4 linked regions of the Arabidopsis thaliana genome follow. The protein of the gene in region 2 interacts with the protein of the main gene of each other region in a pairwise test. Each region holds a gene or a part of one and is shown on either strand. Other genes may lie near its edges.

Evidence for each region.
Region 1: the proteins of ASIL2 (region 2) and AT3G19120 interact in a two-hybrid assay, tested with the Arabidopsis thaliana proteins (one large-scale study listed by BioGRID).
Region 3: the proteins of ASIL2 (region 2) and EMB1135 interact in a two-hybrid assay, tested with the Arabidopsis thaliana proteins (one large-scale study listed by BioGRID).
Region 4: the proteins of ASIL2 (region 2) and AT2G47890 interact in a two-hybrid assay, tested with the Arabidopsis thaliana proteins (one large-scale study listed by BioGRID).

The regions. Positions count from the first base shown.
Region 1 is NC_003074.8:6,608,807-6,613,084, forward strand, and holds AT3G19120 (PIF / Ping-Pong family of plant transposase), read right to left. Parts: upstream 2,333-4,278; 5' UTR 2,213-2,332; coding exon 872-2,212; 3' UTR 544-871; downstream 1-543. Other genes in the region: AT3G19100 (Protein kinase superfamily protein), read left to right, coding at 31-174; RBP47B (RNA-binding protein 47B), read right to left, coding at 2,592-2,708, 3,045-3,138, 3,252-3,382, 3,466-3,548, 3,725-4,208.
Region 2 is NC_003074.8:4,706,291-4,711,096, forward strand, and holds ASIL2 (sequence-specific DNA binding transcription factor), read right to left. Parts: upstream 2,887-4,806; 5' UTR 2,332-2,886; coding exon 1,000-2,331; 3' UTR 512-999; downstream 1-511. Other genes in the region: AT3G14190 (uncharacterized protein), read left to right, coding at 4,617-4,683, 4,768-4,806. UniProt on the Arabidopsis thaliana protein: Transcription regulator that may repress the maturation program during early embryogenesis.
Region 3 is NC_003070.9:29,850,425-29,855,080, forward strand, and holds the start of EMB1135 (RING/FYVE/PHD zinc finger superfamily protein), read right to left. Parts: upstream 3,043-4,656; 5' UTR 2,792-3,042; coding exon 2,183-2,791; intron 2,106-2,182; coding exon 1,932-2,105; intron 1,847-1,931; coding exon 1,716-1,846; intron 1,523-1,715; coding exon 1,446-1,522; intron 857-1,445; coding exon 675-856; intron 485-674; coding exon 407-484; intron 196-406; coding exon 63-195; intron 1-62. Other genes in the region: OCT2 (organic cation/carnitine transporter 2), read right to left, coding at 3,716-4,656. UniProt on the Arabidopsis thaliana protein: Required for normal embryo development. Necessary to acquire heat stress (HS) memory, by modulating nucleosome occupancy and regulating heat-induced gene expression.
Region 4 is NC_003071.7:19,606,417-19,610,831, reverse strand, and holds AT2G47890 (B-box type zinc finger protein with CCT domain-containing protein), read right to left. Parts: upstream 2,837-4,415; 5' UTR 2,588-2,836; coding exon 2,117-2,587; intron 2,039-2,116; coding exon 1,877-2,038; coding exon of another isoform or gene 1,796-1,876; exon of another isoform or gene 1,794-1,795; coding exon 1,522-1,793; coding exon of another isoform or gene 1,518-1,521; exon of another isoform or gene 1,450-1,517; coding exon 1,356-1,449; 3' UTR 545-1,355; downstream 1-544.

The sequences.
Region 1 (4,278 bases), 1.9 Mb from region 2:
CTAAACGAAGGGAACATAAATGTTTTGTAGGAACTTGGTGTTGGATCATCCATCCCGGTTCATACCATTCTAAATGACTGGATAAGACATACTGACGGGAAGCTGAGTTTCTTGGGTTTTGTCAAACTGCTGCACGGTGTCTCGACTCGACAATCTTTAGCGAAAACGCGATGAGGAAAGTGACTCGGTGTTATAACGGATTCGAAAGAGGAAGAACATACAACTGCAAGAAGCAAATGGGTGGATTGGGGTTGGGAATTGGAATTTTTTTCAGGACCCATTCCTATGTTTATAGTGTTAGAAAAAGAATGCTAAGTTCCGACAAAGAAAGAGAGTATCCAGAAAAATCCGACAGGCCTGGAGAGTTGTATAATAAGATGATAATCCACAGTCGTGTTCTTCCAAATCATGGAAGACAGATATTAAGAACATCCCTTTCTCTTTTCATTTGGCTGTCTCCATTTTTTCCAGGAAAAAGATTCAGATTCCATTCACAATGTGCCACAAAGCAAATCATAAAAACCCATTCCTAAGTCACAAAACTTACAGTAACAGAGAGCTATTAATATTTCAAATTCGGAAAAACTTGCTTCTCAAGATTCCATAATCCATATCAATAGAAGTCATACATTTCATTCTCAAAAGGTGTTACAGAACAAACCATAAACCCATTCCTAAGTTACAAAACTGACAGTTGGGATGGCTAGGCAACAAAGTCAGCTTTTTAACATTTCTGAATCCTCAAACTTTCTTCTCAAGAGGATTGAATCTACAATGCTATCTAAAGTTCTAAACACTTGAAAGCATCTGCTTCTTACATGATAACAAAGATAGAAAGCTCCATTTTTTGACCAAGATCTGTTCATGTCTTTTACCTCGAGGAGAGTCTCTGGTGTAAATCTTCTGCCAATGCTTGCCTCAAACTCTCCCCGTAATAGTAAAACTGCCTCTCACTCTCCAAAACTCTTGCAGGCGTTCCAGCTTCATCTGGATCCTTCCAAATCTCCGGTTCAGGTTCTCTAGCAATCTGACAAAGATTATGCAACACACAACAAGCCACAATAGTCTGAGGAGCATGGTTCACACCAACATTCAAACTCTGAAGAATCTTCCATCTAGCCTTGAGCAATCCAATAGCTTCCACCACCACTGACCTTCCTTTCATCAACATTCCATCGAATAGATTCTCCGGTGGCGTACCAGAGCCATTTGGTGAAAATGGAGTCATCAGGAATGAGAGAAGAGGATAACACCAATCTCCAACAATGTATGGTCTCACATGGTGACCTCTAATATTGATAACTTTCTCCCAAACAATGTCTCCTGAAGTAAGCCTCTTATATAGAAGACTATCTCTGAAATGAGAAGAGTCGTCTTCTCCACCTGGAGCTTTCACACAAACGTCCCAAAAGATCTTCTTGTGATCAGCAACAACCTGAAGCAAAACGGCGTCGTATCCGTACTTGCAACCGTAAATGTTTCTAGGGTTTAGTTTCGTGCGGCGTCTGAGCTTCACCGGAGTACTATCAATGGCGCCGCAAATGTTGGGGAGAGAGGTGAGTTCTTCGAATCCCTGAGTCGTTTCGATCAATCTCCGTTTTCCGACGGGGATTTTGATGAATTCTGGATATAGCTTGGTGGCTAAGAGACGTGTGACCATGTTTGTGATCTTGGAGATGAGGTATGGATCTAGTGAGTAGCGAGAAGCTAGGGTTTTAGCTGAGCAGCCATGAGCGAGACGAGAGAGGACCATAGCGACGGCGTAATCGGCGGGGAGAGAGAGATTTGAAGCGGTGATGAATGGTTTGAGCTTGTCGACGACGGTGATGAAGACTGGGTAGGAAAGACCGTACAATGAGCGCCAACGAGCGTCGCGGAGAGGCGCATCGAGTGACCAGATGTGGTCTGTGGTTAGGGCACGGAAGGCAGCGACGGAGTAATCGCCGTCGGCAAGAGGCGGAGGAGGGGAAGGGGAAGGTGATTCTGAGGAAGATGAGGATTCGGTTGAAGATCTGTTGACGGCGAGGAAGGAGAGGAGAGATGCGAGAGTGAAGAAGAGTAAAGGCGCGGCGGAGGAAGTGGAGAGGAGGGAGGAAGGTGTGGTTGAAGACTGTGAAGATGTGGATGCGGAAGAGAAGAGAGTGCTTGTAGGATCTAATGAGTTTTGGAGATGGAGAAGATGTGAGAGCATCGCCATGAAAGCTTCTTCCATCTTCACTCTCCGATTTTTTTCTCTCCGGAGAGGTTGAGAGTAGAAGAAAAACTGAAGAAGTGAGAGAGAAAGGGCTAATAGCTAAAAATTTAAAATTAATGTGAGTTAATAAATATAATTTTAAAGTTTTGGGGTTGTTTGTTTAATTTCAGAAAGTTTTGGGCTTATAAGCAATTCGTAGAAGGTAAGCGGAATTTTGATCCAACAAGTTGCAACCATTTATATTAGTCTGAGACAAACCAGTAACCAAAATTTTTGAATCTCCTCCAAACAACAAGTCTATCAAAATCAAATCCATCTAACAAAATTCTTCTTTCGACTACAGGTTTTAGCTTTGATATGTGAAACCATGATGAAGATGATCACTTGATGAGTCTCTTCAATTCTCCCCATGATAGTTGTTGGAGTCGTGGTGGTTAGCATATCCTCCTCCATTGTTGTAACCATGTCCTCGTGAGTATCCTCCATTCCACTGCTGCCCTGAGTCTCCTCTCCACTGCCACAAGTTGAACACATTATGAGAACTAAAAAGAAATCTATTGCCAGCAGAACCAATTTGGTTAAGTCCTAGACCAAAACATGTCGACATAAGACCATGTTCAGGGTTGGTGACACAAGTTGGACATGGAGACATGTATTAGATATTCTCCCACTTGCATAAGTCAAAATAGAAAACGAAGGGAAGGTGCTAGATTCCACCAGCTATTATTGTCAACCACTGACTTTACTTTTAATAACAAAACAAACAACTATTCACAAAGTTTGACCCTAGCAAAATACTCAATTTACTCTTCTACTGATAGAATGCATCAACTCCAAAGTGAAATTTTACCTGCTTGTTTGGGCTTCGTCCCCAGGAGAGTCTGACAGTGTTCTTGCCGATGACTGTCCCGTTCAAACTCTCGATAGCATCTTCAGCACTCTTCCTGTCAAAACCAAAGGCAAGTCGCTTTGAATTACTCGCTATGAGATAAGCACCTACAGGTTGCTCAATCATATGATTGCCAAGCCAACACTACTAACTAGATGAAGACAGCACCTGTCAGCAAATTGGACAAATCCACATCCTTTCCCTACTGGGATCTTCACTGAAACAACCTCTCCAAACTGGGAAAAAGGTTGTCTGAGGTCTTCATCAATAACATCAGGGTCAATGCCGCCAACAAATATCTGCAGTAGAATAACCTAAGATGAGCAGCAAGAACATATAGAGCTTGAATGATGCTGACATATAACTAAATATGACAACTCACTGTTGCGTTAGTTGATTCGCCATCAGACTGCGAGCCATAACCCATGGAACCATTTGATCCATGTCCACCAGCCAGAATCACAGCTATTCCAATGAAAACATAAAATCTTTATAGTTCAAAAACTTTGTTGAATGCAACAAGTTGTTAGCTCTAGAGTCCTATGGATTAAAACTGGCTCACCTCTCGCTTAAAACTAGTACACTTAAATAGAAAGAATCAGAGGGTAAAACTAGTTGCAGAGAGAAGTATGAAAAGAAACCTTGTGAAGAATGTTGTTGCTGATTAGCAATCGCTCTTTTGGGAGTTGCAATACCTACACGCATTTGCCTGTTCGAACAGTAAGCTCCATTCATTTCTGTCAAAGCCCTTGACCTCTCATTTTCATCACCGAACCTCACAAAACCATAACCTTTGGACCGGCCGGTGTTGGAATCAATCACAACTTTGGCGCTTTTGACAGAAGGATATCTATCAGAAAAGGTCTCATGCAATAAAACGTCAGTGACATCTGGAGACAAGTCTCCCACAAAAACAGATAGGTCTGGACCATTTTCCACTGCTCTTTTTTCACCAGTACTAAAAGATGCCCAGTTTATACGGAAGGGTTGGTCCGAGTTTGGCATCACTGAACCACTATAGTTCTGAAGAACTTCTTCAGCTGCAGCACGTGAAAGAAACTCAACAAACCCATACCCTTCTGATTGAGAAGTGAGCTTGTTACGTATAACTTTCACAGAAGAAACCTGCTCATCACAAAAAAAAACAAGAAACTTCAGAGAAAGAACAAAACAGAACACATGTATAACTGGATAT
Region 2 (4,806 bases):
AATATTCATTTGTTACATTAATAATTTACTATTTCTTTAGTAATCACTACTTTTATTGCTAGATTTAGTTCCAAAAAAAAACTTTATTTTGAAAAAAAAAACTTTATTTTGAACTTTACTAAGGAAAAATCTTGATTAGTAATCCTAGTGATACCAATATATCATTAGATAATATCTAATCTATATGTCTAAACACACGTGGACCTTTGGAATCAAACTCTTTTCTACCTAAAACAAAAACAAAATTCAGAAGATTTCAAGATGCTTTATTTCTTACGTTTTCATTATTGTATTCGTTTCAAAAAAAAATAAGAATAGTGCAAGTTAGAATGATGTTACGGTGGGACTCGGAAGATGGTATTTTTACTCAAATATCATGATTCACCTTTCGATACATGAATATTAGCTTAGTGCGGAAGGTAAAATTGTGAGAAACATCTATGTGTAATGAATTTGAATTGACTGTCATTTGTTTAGTACCTATAAAATGCCAAAAGGCAAACATCATAGAAAAATAAATAAACAGACCAACGAAAAGGTTTCTTGCCTAACATTCTTCTTTTATAGAAGATCATCATTGGTGGTTTGAATGATGCTTCAGACACAAGAAAATCTAGCTCAAACAATTACTCAAAAGAAAAAGAGTTAAAAAAATGCTTTTAGGTACACATGCAAATCTCCAATGTCATAATAACCAAACATAGCTTTAAGATTTTGCGGTTGGATTGTGTCAAAAATGTCCTATGCCATGTTCTAACCTAACTAGTGAAACACAATCTAACTCAGAGATTAAGAGAAGTTCAAAAACGTGCACAAGAGTCTGCAGCAGAATGATCTCAGGCAATCTAGTGAAGTTAAATCTGTTCCATATGACCAAAGTTAAGAAAGATATGCAAAATATTAATACACTCATGAAGCCTAGATAAGTTTCAGTTTCTCTTTCAACAATTAAAGACTCAAATCTAAAATATATCAATTACGACACTGCATCACTAAATTCTAGTTATTACCCAAATCGTTGTTGTTGTTGACAATCGCATTGATGTTGTTCTTGCGGCTGTGATGATGATCATTACTGGTGTTTCCCATTCTCCTCCCATGTTGCTGCTTAAGTTGTGATATCTCCAATTGAGTCTTCACAAAGAACTGCATTCTCTGCAACTCAAGCTCCTTCAAGAACTTCATCCTCTCTTTCTCCATCTCAACCACCTGTTGCAGTTTCGCATTCTCTGTTTGCTCATAAGCTTCACCGAATCTCATGATTGCCCGAGTCAGCTCCCTCCATTTGTTCCCCACTCCATCACCATCTTGCTTCTTCTTCTCCTCCGTCTTCATCCTCTTCGACAGAGGAGGAGGTGGTAAACTGTCACCGGAATCATCTGACATTGCTGCTTCAGATTCCGAGTCTGAATCAGAAGCGTTCCTCTTCCTGAAACGCCAGCGTTTCGACTCACTACACCTTTTCACCATCATCCCTTGCTGCTGTTGCTGTGGCAGTGTCCTACCTTGCTGTGGCAGAGTCCTCCCTTGCTGTCCAAACGGAGCTGAACGGCTACTCATCGGAATTCCCATAGGTACATTGACAGATCCTCCTCCGCCTCCTCCACCACTGCCACCGAAAGAAGCAGCTGAGACTCTAGCCGTAGCTCCAATTAACCGGTCAAGATTATTGAAAGGCGGTGTTGCAGCCTTAGCTTGCTGATGGTACAGATTCGAACGACTTCCCATTGGAATACCCATAGGAATCTTATGCAATCCTCCGACAGGACCGCTGACTCCAGAAGTTGCCGTCGGGATCTTCGCCGTTGATCCAATCAGACGGTCAAGCTTGTCGAAGAACACCCATCTGCTACGGCCACCGCCGTTAGCGATTCTCACCTTCTCTTGTTTATACTTCTTCTTCACCGTATCGATCCTATTCTTACACTGTATATCAGTTTTGGGAATTTTACCGTAATCCTCTCTGCTGCTCACAATCTCAGCCACCTCTTTCCAGTGCTTCTGCTTCAGATTCCCTCTGCTAAGCTCCAAGTATCTCTCACCCCACGCATCAATCAACACAGCCGTAGCTGCTTCGCTCCAACAATCCTCCCTCCCGCCGCCGCCGGTTGGTCTCCCACTGCTGTTATTCCCTCCACCGCTGGCCTGAATCGGAAGCAGCGCCAGAGCCAACGCATCCGGATCCTTCTGCGACGAATTACCCGGAGGAGTCAGAGAATAAGAAGGCGGACCTGCCGAAGCCACCGTAACCGTGATTCGTCCCGCCGGCGGGGAGGAAGACGGATCAGGTGAATCGGAACCCTGAGATCGGATGTCTTCATCGTCCTCCATGGAATTCGATATCGCCGGATCTGAGTCAGAAGCTCGTGAAAGAGGGAGATAGGGTTAGGGTTTGGGTTAATATTCTGTTCGGGAGGGGTAAACGGGAAGGAGACGGCGTCGGTGAGTAGAGGGGACACGTGGAAGGACGTGAGAAGATACGGGGAGATGACGTGGAATGACGTGATTGGTAGGTCAGAGGTAAGATTCCGTCACCGGTAAAGTTGCCGGCTCGGTTTAGGGGTAAAAGATGGGTTTGTATCGTAATTTCCCCATTTCTTCGTAATCCGATGAGGAAGTGTATTGACGGAAAAGCCCATCTAGTTTTACTATAATTACCGGAACTATCCCCGTGAACCATTTTTCCGGTGATGTACCGAAATTACCCTTAGCCTAACCGTCAGTTTCAATATCGGTCGTAGACTTTTTTTAGTCCGTCGATAGTTTCCAGTTGTCTTCCTTCGTTGTCTTGCTTCATTCGTTAAATCGATTCGAATTAGTCTCTCTTTTAACAATAAGAACGGTGACGTGGATGTTATTTACTTTGGGCATGGGTTTTTATTGGGCTTTCCATACGCTACGTTAGCATGTTATCACTTAGTATCATTTTTTCTTTTCACCATTGTCAAAGATACAACTTTAAACATTCCAGAAATACTATGTTTCAAAAAGACCTTATATAATCTTCGTGAATTGTGAAACAAACAGAAATTTAATATTTCTCAAATCTCAAAACACCAAAAGCGACCATTATGTTATGTACACAGCAAATATATATATACAAAGAAAAGTAGTTTGGGATACTTCTTCTTCTCGTAGAAATACCTTGTAATATTTTTCAACGGTCCAATGCGTTTAGCACAATCCTGCAGTATTACCGGACGTTAATTAGATATGGTGGTACTAATGAAAGCGATAATGCGTTGGATAAAATGAAGTATAGTTTGAGAGGAAAGAAAAGAGAGGGAGATCAAACCAATCGCAAGCATTGAGACTTGTAGCATGTGTTTCACTTGGTGTTCCAGCTGCATACAAATGATTTTGGTAATCATTAATTTACAAATCCATAATACTCTCAAGCTAATAATGATTATGGATGTCAAAATAAAAAAAAAAAATAATAAAAAAAAGCTTATAATGACTATGAACATATGTATCACCTTGCAAAGTCTTTAATTTACATGAATATATAGGGTTTTAACTGCTCATAACACAAGCATAGAAGATAAAAAAAAAGTGGATCAGAAAGGATTTTTAAAAAAGGTAACATAAGAGTCAAAGGGGAAACGGGGTTGCTTGAACGGTCAGGAGAATTCGGGACACGTTTCAGATCCACCATCAACTTCCGGTTGGCACTTTCACCGGATATGTGGTTTCTCAACTTCCCGAGACCATTTTCCGGCGTTGGACCGGCCAAAGTTTCATCCCACAACTTGTGCGAAAAACCCATATCTCTGATCAAATTATTAGAAGGGTTTTTCTTGTTAATTGTCTCTAATGTGTTTTGAAAAGAGTTTTTTTTTTGTTAAGTCTTCTTTATGTGAGGATAATGGTTTTATATAAGGAACAGGAACGAGAAGCGTTGAATATCCTTGGTTAGACTAATTATATACACTTTACCTATAATTTAACCTTCCAAAATTAAGGAGATTTAATCAAGGATGATGATAAATCTAGCCGATAAGAAGATAACTTAGAGAAGTGTGACATGTTTTGCTTCTATCTTACATGATAGTTTGATGCCGTCAATTTGATTTATGTGATGGGCCTGTACCTGGGCCAATTCTTGATTAGGCCTGCATTAAAATATTCTGCCAACGGCTAGAAACTTTTTCTCTTCTTCTATAAATTTACTTTTTTTGGCCTAATCCCGGAGGTTCTTCATTATTTCGTCAGAACAACATTGAAAAGTTACCGTTAAACACTCTAAGCGCTCTTCTTCATCTTCTTATACACTTCTCTTCCAACAAGAATCTCACCAAGAAACTTCTTCACTTTTACAAAGGTAATCTCTTTCTTCCTTCTGATTTAGGTTCACATTATAGACTGTTCTTCTTGCGATTGTTTGTTCTTCTTTTCGTATGTCGCTACTTGATTCGTTCTGGGTTTCTGGGGTCTGTGGTGTTAAATTTGCTTGAGGATCGAATTGGGTTTTGTGAAAAAAACGATCTTTGTTTCGATTTCGAGTTGGGTTTCTGTTACCTTTTTTAGGGTTTCTAATTGCTTAAAATCGTCAGTTCTGGAATCAAATCTTCGTTTCTGCAATTGGTTCTTTGATGATTCACAGTTAAAACCATATGGCGAACATGAACGCTCTTCAACAAATGATCTTCCCAGACGAGAACGCTCCAATTCATCGCAAAAGTAGTTAATCTTTCTCTACTCTCTTTAAATCATATTGCTTTGAAACAAAGATTTAACATTTTCTTTCTTGGCTATTATTTACAGAGTCTGTCACTGCTGCTTCTGTGAAATCCAAAGGGACTG
Region 3 (4,656 bases), on a different chromosome or scaffold from region 2:
TTACACACACACACAAAAAAAAAAAAATCAATTAATCAACAGGAGTAGAAAAGAAAACCAACCTAGGAATTTGTTAAAATCACTAAAACTTGTTCCAGCTCCCCAAAGACCAAGCCTGACCATATAACCCATGTTTCGTGGTTCTGATGCCCCAGTAGCCGAGCAATAAATAACACGTGCTTGGGGGATCTTATCCTGCTTTTCCAGAATTCATTAGTTAGAGTCAACTAGATGGCACTAACCACAAATTAAGCATGTTAAACTAGAATATACACTATATTATCTGAAACCGAGAAAAAGTACAACCCAAAAAGACAAGTCGAAGTATATAATCTCTCACTCTTCAGAGCCAAGAGCAATATTAAAAGCAACACTGATAAGAACATTCAGTTTCAAGTAGCCAGACCTGAATGTCAACAACTGCCTGTCCGATGCGTGTCGGCTGACTCCCAGCTTCAGGTACCAAATTTTTCGCTTTATGGCACTATAAAAAAGGAAAACAAATTAGTACCTGCACAATGTACTAAAGATTAGAGGTTGGCCCAAAATTGATAAAACCAGTGATCAAGCAACTTACAACGACAGGGTATACTCAAATTGTTCAATTCACAAAAAAAGGGGGATGATGATTTTAACGCAAATAATTTAATATACTTCATTCATAGAACTGTTACCTCATCAAAGATCAAGAGACCATCAAATTCTGGTCCACACCATTGAACAAGCTGCTGTAAACGAGAACGGCCCTTCTCAGAGGAAGCAATGAGGCTATTGTATGTCAAGAATACCACTCCTTCTTTAATACCAACATTTTTCGAGTCAAGCTTAGAATAGGGTAGCTTGTTCAAAGGATTCACTGCACGTCAAACATATTGTTATTTAGTTGCAGAAAAAACAAACTGGACATTTGTTCACTTGAATGAACTTATCCATCGACATGGTTCCCTTGATTTGTCGTATTTTTCCATCTCCTAATATTCTATTAAAATTCCAAGCTCAAACCTATAAAGGATTAATGAGACTAAGAATCAAATATCCTATTGGACTATTCTAAAGTTACAGTCCAACTTTTATTTACCTGAAATTTTCATGAACTGCACAAACATCAGCTACCCATAACATTCTCTAGGCATGAAGACACCATAAACAAAGTTCAGGGACCCATTACCTTTATCAGTAAAGAAAATAAGTTCTCTAAAAATACATGTGTACTCTACATCGTAATATTAAAGCATGAGTCAATTTATCCATTCAGCAAAGTCAGAATCTCATTCTGATCCAGTCTACTCTATACCATCCACTTTCAAAATTTTCTATTCAACAATGAGCCAGAAAATAATTTATAGCATAAGCTATATGTAATTATGTATAACATATGAAGCATTTGTGACCCAAGAAAATAAGCGAATTACAAACTTAATTTACAGCCAAAATCAAGATAATACCTCCAACGCATGTAGCACCCACATCATCCAAGTCCCTTCTTGCATCATATTTCAAGTCTGAGCCAATAGAAATCCACCTATGTAAATCATAAAGGAAAAGGAGCAAATAGTATTAGAACTCATCCTACTTTAAGTTATCTAAGAAACCAAAAAAGGACACCGTAGACACAATTATGCAAATGTAGTATAATCATAAGTCAGATTGAATTGAGCTAACAATATCTTATCAAGGATGTAAATGGCGCAGAAGTATCTTTCTACAAGACTTACAAAGCTTTCCTCCTTCCATGTTTCCAATTTTCCCAAATCAACCCGGCAATTGTTCGCCCTTTGCCCACACCAGCACCATCTCCAACAAAAAAGCCTGCTCTGGTACCATCAGCAAGGTGCTGGAGATGCCTCTGTAATAAAAAAAAAACCATTGTCATACAGGTAGAAGATACGTTTAAATGCCATTAACCAAACTTTTTGCCATTTAAAAGCAACCTGGCAAGCGTAAACTAATGTCTCAATCTGCAAACACGATAAAGCCTTTGACCTTTCAAGCTCTTCCTTGATTTTGAGATCATAAGTAGGCTCTGGGGGTTGCACTGCAGATAGAGATGATGTTTCCACAATTGGATCAGGATGAGGAGGTCCGATCGAAAGTTTTGGGGGACGCTTCACAAAGAAACAAATTAGTATCATCAAAAACATTGAACAGACAGAAAAAGATGATCTCAAGATGAGGCACTCACATAATCCATAAACGTTTCTCCAGCCGTTCCACCTTCATCTTCTTCTCTCTCCACTTCAATAGCTTCCTCATTGACTTCTTCGGGAGGAGGCGGAGGCGGGACTGTGGGAGCAGCAGGAGTAGGAGGATTAGAATGAGATTGAGAAGCAGTTAAAGACCGATTAAGCTTGGAGACATCAACAGCGAGCTCGACATGGCACTGAGGACACGAGAACCGAGTGAGTCCATGAGGCACATTGAGGATAGCCTGACAGTTAGCGCAAGGCAATTGCATCTTCGTCGGATCGATTCCATGTGCCGGAACCGGAGGCCTAGGTAGATTAAGAGGCTTAAGCTGCTGTTGAATCGGTGGCGGAAGCGTCTGAATTGGCTGTGGTGGTTGTTGTGGAGACTGCGGAAACTGCGGCCGTGCCCTAGAAAGAAGCTCCGGCGGCAACATTTGGGGAAGTTGACAAGTCGGACACGAGAACTCCACAACGCCGGTTTTCACCCTCAGAATCACGCGACAGCCTGCGCACCTAACCTGTACATCGCCTCTTATTACACCTCCGGCGGCGGAATGCGGCTGAGCTGGGAGCGGCGGAGGCGGTTGAACAGGCGACTGCGTCATGAGCCGCGGCGATTGATCTTAAGAGAGATCCGTGAGAGGCCTTAGGATCTTGTGGCGTTGAAGGAGATAATTGAGAGAGGAAGACAAAAAAAGTATAAATCCAGTGTAAGTAATGAATTTCGTCAGAGCGCGAAAGGTTCTTCTTCGACTCCCTTCTCGTTTTTTTTGGTTTCAGATTTTCTTCCCTTTTTCTAATATTATTTTGGGATTGTTTGGTTCATCTAAAACTAATTATAATTACCCAAGAGGAGTCGAAGTAGGAAGATACAAAACCACTTCCGTACCGGTTGGGGTAATGGTAAGTGATGGGTTGATGGATCACGTGTCATCACGTGACTTGCCAGCTCACCGTTCGTTAGTTTGTGTGGGCTTAAAATAATAAATCCACATAAGTTTTGGGTTTGTGAACTTTGAGACCACTTAGTTGGGCCTAAAAGGGTTACAAAAGGGCTGATAGATGGGCCTATTTGTAAATTAAACCTTTTAAACATATCTACCAAGAAGTGTACAAATTTCTGTCTGGTTTGTTCTTCCCATTCAATTACCAAACAGCCAACTACCAACAACCCCAATGAATATACTTTCTTGGGATTGGAACGATTCATTTTCACACAACGTGTGAAAATTAGAACAGAAACACAATTATCTCTAACAAAAATCAAACAGCCAAACGTTTAACCATCGGCATCAATATCCAAACGAGACAAATTTGAATTATTTTGTTATTCAAGAAATCCATGTGTTATAGGTGTAAACTGTAAAATGAGATTGTTTCATCAGAGTGGTGCTTTGATGGCTCATTCTTAGAAACACTTTTCAACTAACCAAAAAAAAAGATATGTGGTAAGTCTTAATGTAATCAAGTGATAAATACTAAATTAAATCTACATTAATTTCACATGTGTTTTCAAATTCTTCACCATTTCATGCAATGACATTATTAACGGCGACTTTACTCCGCCGGTCTTTGCACTCTTCCTCGTCCATAGTGTCACATAGATCACTCCCTCTAGTCTCTGGCAATCCAACTGCAAACAATCCCAACAAACCTATAGCAAGACCAAACAATCCGAACGACCAGAACGCGTTTTTCCGACCAGCTGCTACCATAATAGGGCTGAAAACTCCACCAAGCACCAAAGCCTGTCTAGCCATTGCGATAGCCGAGTTTCTCACACATGTCGGAAACAGCTCGATCGTGTATATCATCTCCATGTTAAAAGCCGAACACGCGCTAAAGTAAGAGATTAGCTCTAACGCCAACTGTAACGCCCCGTGGTTTCCAATTCTCATATTATGTAACGCAAATATGAGAACGCTAGAGACTCCACCTAAAGCCGTAAATCCGATAAGCGCGTTTCTCCTACTGAGTTTATCGACTAGGAAAAGCGTGATGAGGTTCGCTGGTAAATCCATCAACGCATTAAACGCTGCACTTAAATAGATGTTGAAATCAAGATTCGATAACGCTAAAGGCATCCCGTAATAGACCAAACCAATCCCGAACGCAATGGCCATTACCGCGGATAATCTCTTAAGCGCCCATCTTTTCTCTACCAACACCTTCATGGTCGTGAAGATGTTAACATTAGTACTAGGCTTCTCTTCATCTTCTTCAAAAGGTAAGCTCGAAAAACTCATAGATATTGCACCACCACTGCTTACATCAGTAGACGGAATCGAAGCAACCCTTTTGAGAATCGAAATAGCTTCTTCTCTACGGCCTCTAACGAAAAGCCACCTTGGAGACTCACAAACGAAAAACCGAACAAGAACGCAGTATATTATCGTTGGAATCGAAGTCCATGCGTAGAGAATCCTCCAAGAACTTCCTCTGTTCATGTAAGCCATCAAAGGAAGAGACA
Region 4 (4,415 bases), on a different chromosome or scaffold from region 2:
GTGACCAATGGAGTCAGATGTGGTCAATAATAGGGTGGCAGAAGTGGCGGTCCTTGTGGCGGTGGGCCGCCAAAGCAATCTCGTAGCAGCCAGCAGCAGCACAGACAAGATAGACTGCAAGATTCCACAGTCAGACTAACCACTTAACTCTTTACAAAACACATAGCAAAACAGAGAATGTCTTTACCAGGAACATATCATGTCGGAGAACCCAGAAAAGAAACCACCAATGGGTGGGAAGAAGCCTGGTCCTCCCGGTGGCAAGAACCCTGGTCCTCCGGGTCCTCCTGGTCCTCCGGGGCCCATGACAGATCTCTGAACAGTGTGGTGAAGATGTCTCCAAGGGATTTAGCGCTCTTAAGACAGGAGAATAAACAGAGAAGGGCTCTTATATACAAGTTTGTTGGGGCCTAATCTTCAACGTCAACAAACAGTAAACGAAGAGTGAGAGATGCAAAATTGCTTCAAGCTGCAACCACTCTTCACCAAATGTTCAAATCCAAAAATATTAACAGTAAAATTAACCATCATTAAAATAAAGAACTCCAAGTCAGATTCATATTTGAATTCTAAGAAGAACATAGAGAATATAACCACAACTCTGATACATGATTTAGTGCTTACTGATTGCTCAACAAGTAAAACCCACTCCAGATTCCTTGTTCAACCAAAACTTACTTTACTTCTCAGATTATCATTGGGACAGATTCATCGTAGCAGGAATGATCTGCCAAAAAGTGTTGTCATTTTTTTTTGTATTTTTATACTGCCTCAGATTATTATATATTGGTAGATTGCAAATAGTTGTTGCCGCGAGCCCATGCCTTTGGATGTTTGTCTTCATCGGCCATCCAATTTCATCTGAATAAAAAAACAAGAGTGAAAGCTGCGACGGCAGCGGAATTTCTGTTTCGCCGGCCATCGGGAAGAGACGCTTTTATATTTGGGCTTTAAAAGAAAATGGCCCAAACATGCCAACCTATATTGGGTTTACTATGTTACAACTTGAGCCCATAATATCAATTACATCAAGCCCTTCTTGCTCCATGGATCTTTAATGGGTCCAATCTCACTTTCTAACATTACAACAAGTTCTTTTGCTGCTTGCTTGTCTTGAGATTGTATATAACTGTGAACCATGTTTTGTTCTGTGCTCGTCCATGCTTGCCCTTTGGCAAATTAGGAATCGGAGGCAAAACAAAAAAAAAACTATTCTTAAGTGACAATTTTGAGAGTGTGGTCGATATACAGTGATAACTCCTAAGCTTAGAATACAAAAACTTATCTGATCATACACACTATATGATTCGATTAATACAAAAGATTTTTGATTATCAAAGTAACCTCATCATCATTCATGGATCTGCTGCCTTGGCGAAACGTCCCCTGATTCTTGTCCTGCTTTCTGCACGAACCTTGCGTGATTCATACCTGATGTGTTTCTCGTACCTGTTTCATCAACACATGATTCAAATCCCAATCCTATTGGTGGTGTCTCACTTTTTAAATTAGCTTGTTTACCTTCGAGACTTCTTCTTTTCTTTGTAGCGAGAGAGAGCAGAGTTCCTCTCAAGACTGTTGATCTCATGTGTCATCGACCTTGTACTAGTGATAACCGGAACCATCACAGTCTCTTCCTCACATCGGTTTAAGCAGCCGGAAACGGGAACCATCACCGATGACTCTCGGTCTACATTCTCAGGTTTCTCATCTGACTCCGACAAGTTCTTTAGCAGAGAGCAATATGGAAAGTCCTCATGATCTTGCTGATCGAACCATTTCAGTCCACTCTCCTTCATATTGACAAGAGAGATTTATAAGCTGGAAAATCATTTGACAAGCACAAGAAAACACAACCAATAGCAGTCTCTATTACCAGCTCGCATGTAGAAAACAAATCCGGCGCTAGGAATTGGAACCCGGCATCGATCTCAGCATCTGGGGTTTCAAATTTCAGACAACCAGGCTCAGATCTGGATAGTCCACGGAGCTGTCGGATCATCTCATCTTTGTATTTCCCGCAGGTGGCGTGACGATTCTGGAGCATTTCAAAACATTTCAGAGAAATATAAAAACCGAGCAATTGGCTCGAGAAAAAAAACAGAGCAAGTTATACCTTAGGCAGAGGAGGAACATCCGTGGCCCGGAAGTTATGAGTACCCGACCCGCCCGAAACAATAAGGTCGTTGAGGCTAACGATCTCAGGTGACTCCCAAAGCAATCCGGAATCGAGAGTGAGGTCATCGAGGCCAACGATGGCCAGCAACTCAGGCACGGAGGGACAGCCGGTAAATCCTTCAAAGGGTCTGCGGCTATGAAGGGAGGAAGAGGCGGTGTGGTGTTGCCAGTCGCAGTTCTGGCAAAGAACAGACCTTTCAGTCTCGCAGAAAAGGGAAGAGGGAGATTCGTTGCAGGAGTCGCAGAGAAGTGACCTGAAGTGTTTGGCGAAGAGTTGGTTGGCGACGTGGACTTGCTTGTCGCAGGCGAGGCAGAGCTTGGCGGAGTCAGCTTTGCAGTAGACAAGAGCCACGGAGGAGTCGCAATAGTCGCAGAGGCGGTCACGCTGATGACCTTCTTCTGCTTCCATGGGAGGAGCTTAGAGGAGACGACGCCGACAGTTTTGGTAAGAAGAAGAAGTTGATCTTTTCTTGGGATATTTTGGGGCAACAAAACCAAATTTGGTGGCTTATGTAAAAGCCATATCTTAATTGCATTCTAGGTAATGAATGACGTTAAAGTGACGACATATTTGCTTAGACAAAGTCAAATACATTTTATTTCTTGGGGAAGAAGCTGGAAACCTACACTCTCTTCACCTTCCCGTGCCTTTCTTTACTCATCTCTCTCACTTAACTCGTGAAAAATAGCTCTCCATTTTTATATATTGATTTTTCTTGATATATCGGATTAGCCTAGAATTTAACATAATATTTTGGCTACCACATATATAATATACAGTACTTGGTTAGATTTTTAAAAAGTAAATAAGATCATAACTAATGAAGGGCTCAAGAGAAAGAGTTAATGAAGTTGACCACGAATACATCTCTGAAGATTTTTTAAACCGGGACTAGTCCAGAAAATGGACGTGGCAAATTAGGGACGTTAGAAAAAGGAAGCTCGTTGTTGAGGCAGCGTTGGCCGATTTGATTAACTTTAAAGAAACAGACAAACGAAAAAAAGGACTTTGTCACGTTACCGACATAGCTAGAATGCTCGATACTGAATCTTTTCTTCTTATATTTGTTTTTTGTTTGCCACTATGTATATTAGGTGAAACGGAAATGGATCCCACCATTAATTTTTGATATTGAGTCCAAATCTGCTTATCTCCACTAATACCTCATCATCGTTCCTCGATAACTATTACTCCATGAAGGTAGTTTTCAATTAGAGTTTCCGTACTGAATTAAACCTATTCAAGATTAGCTAATACCATGCATAGTTTGACTTTTAGGGCACGATGGGGAAAAAGAGACAGGATGGGCAATATCTAACATTCCAGCGACACTAATAACATGATCTCGACAACTACTGCCCCTACTTCTCTTGAACAATAACACATATCACAAGATAATCTAGCTAGGTTGCTTTTCCATCCTCGTAACATACTAACATGGCTATAAAAACTCATTTTTCAAAAATCGAAATTGATTCTGAAGCCTTTAATAAAAATACACACAACTAAACTGAAACCAAATGTTCTACCATTTCACTTTGGTGGACTAAACTATTCGCATGAGCTACGTTCCTTTTTTAATTTTTGATTTTTTAAAAAATGGTCCACTTTCCAAGTAATCATCGGTTCTCGATATTTTCTTGGACACGAATCTTGAGCCTATAGGTGGATGCTTTTTTCACGCGCCGGTCAAAGAATCTTGAATCTTATAACAATGACAACAAAGTGAATATGGTTCTTAGTTCTTACACGTTCTGTACAACTTCCGATTAGATTCTCCTATATATTTCCCACGATCCCAAGAAGTTGGAGGTCAAGAAAAGTTGTTCCACACATCATGTAAAGGGATTCTACCTTTATTATTTCTTTTCGACCTTTTGAACTCAGTATAATCATATTTTCTTCAAAAAGAAATCTTCAAGGTCTATATACTACTATATAACTATAGAGGCTTTTACACGCTTCTTTTGATTGGAGAATCTTGAAGTAGTTGATTTTGGTAACTTTAAGTAACTAAAGGGAAATAATTATGGGTAACATATATAAGCATGCAAAGCGTAAATGTCAAATCCATTATTTAGTAACTAATTTACGTGCTTAAACCTGTGAGTAGAGTTTAATCTCAAGTGATAAAAAGCGGAACTAAGGAGAATAATATGCTTCGTTATCTATAAAGCTGATGAGAGGATCGTTAATGTACCGTATATAAAACAACTATTCATATGATTCGTTAGTA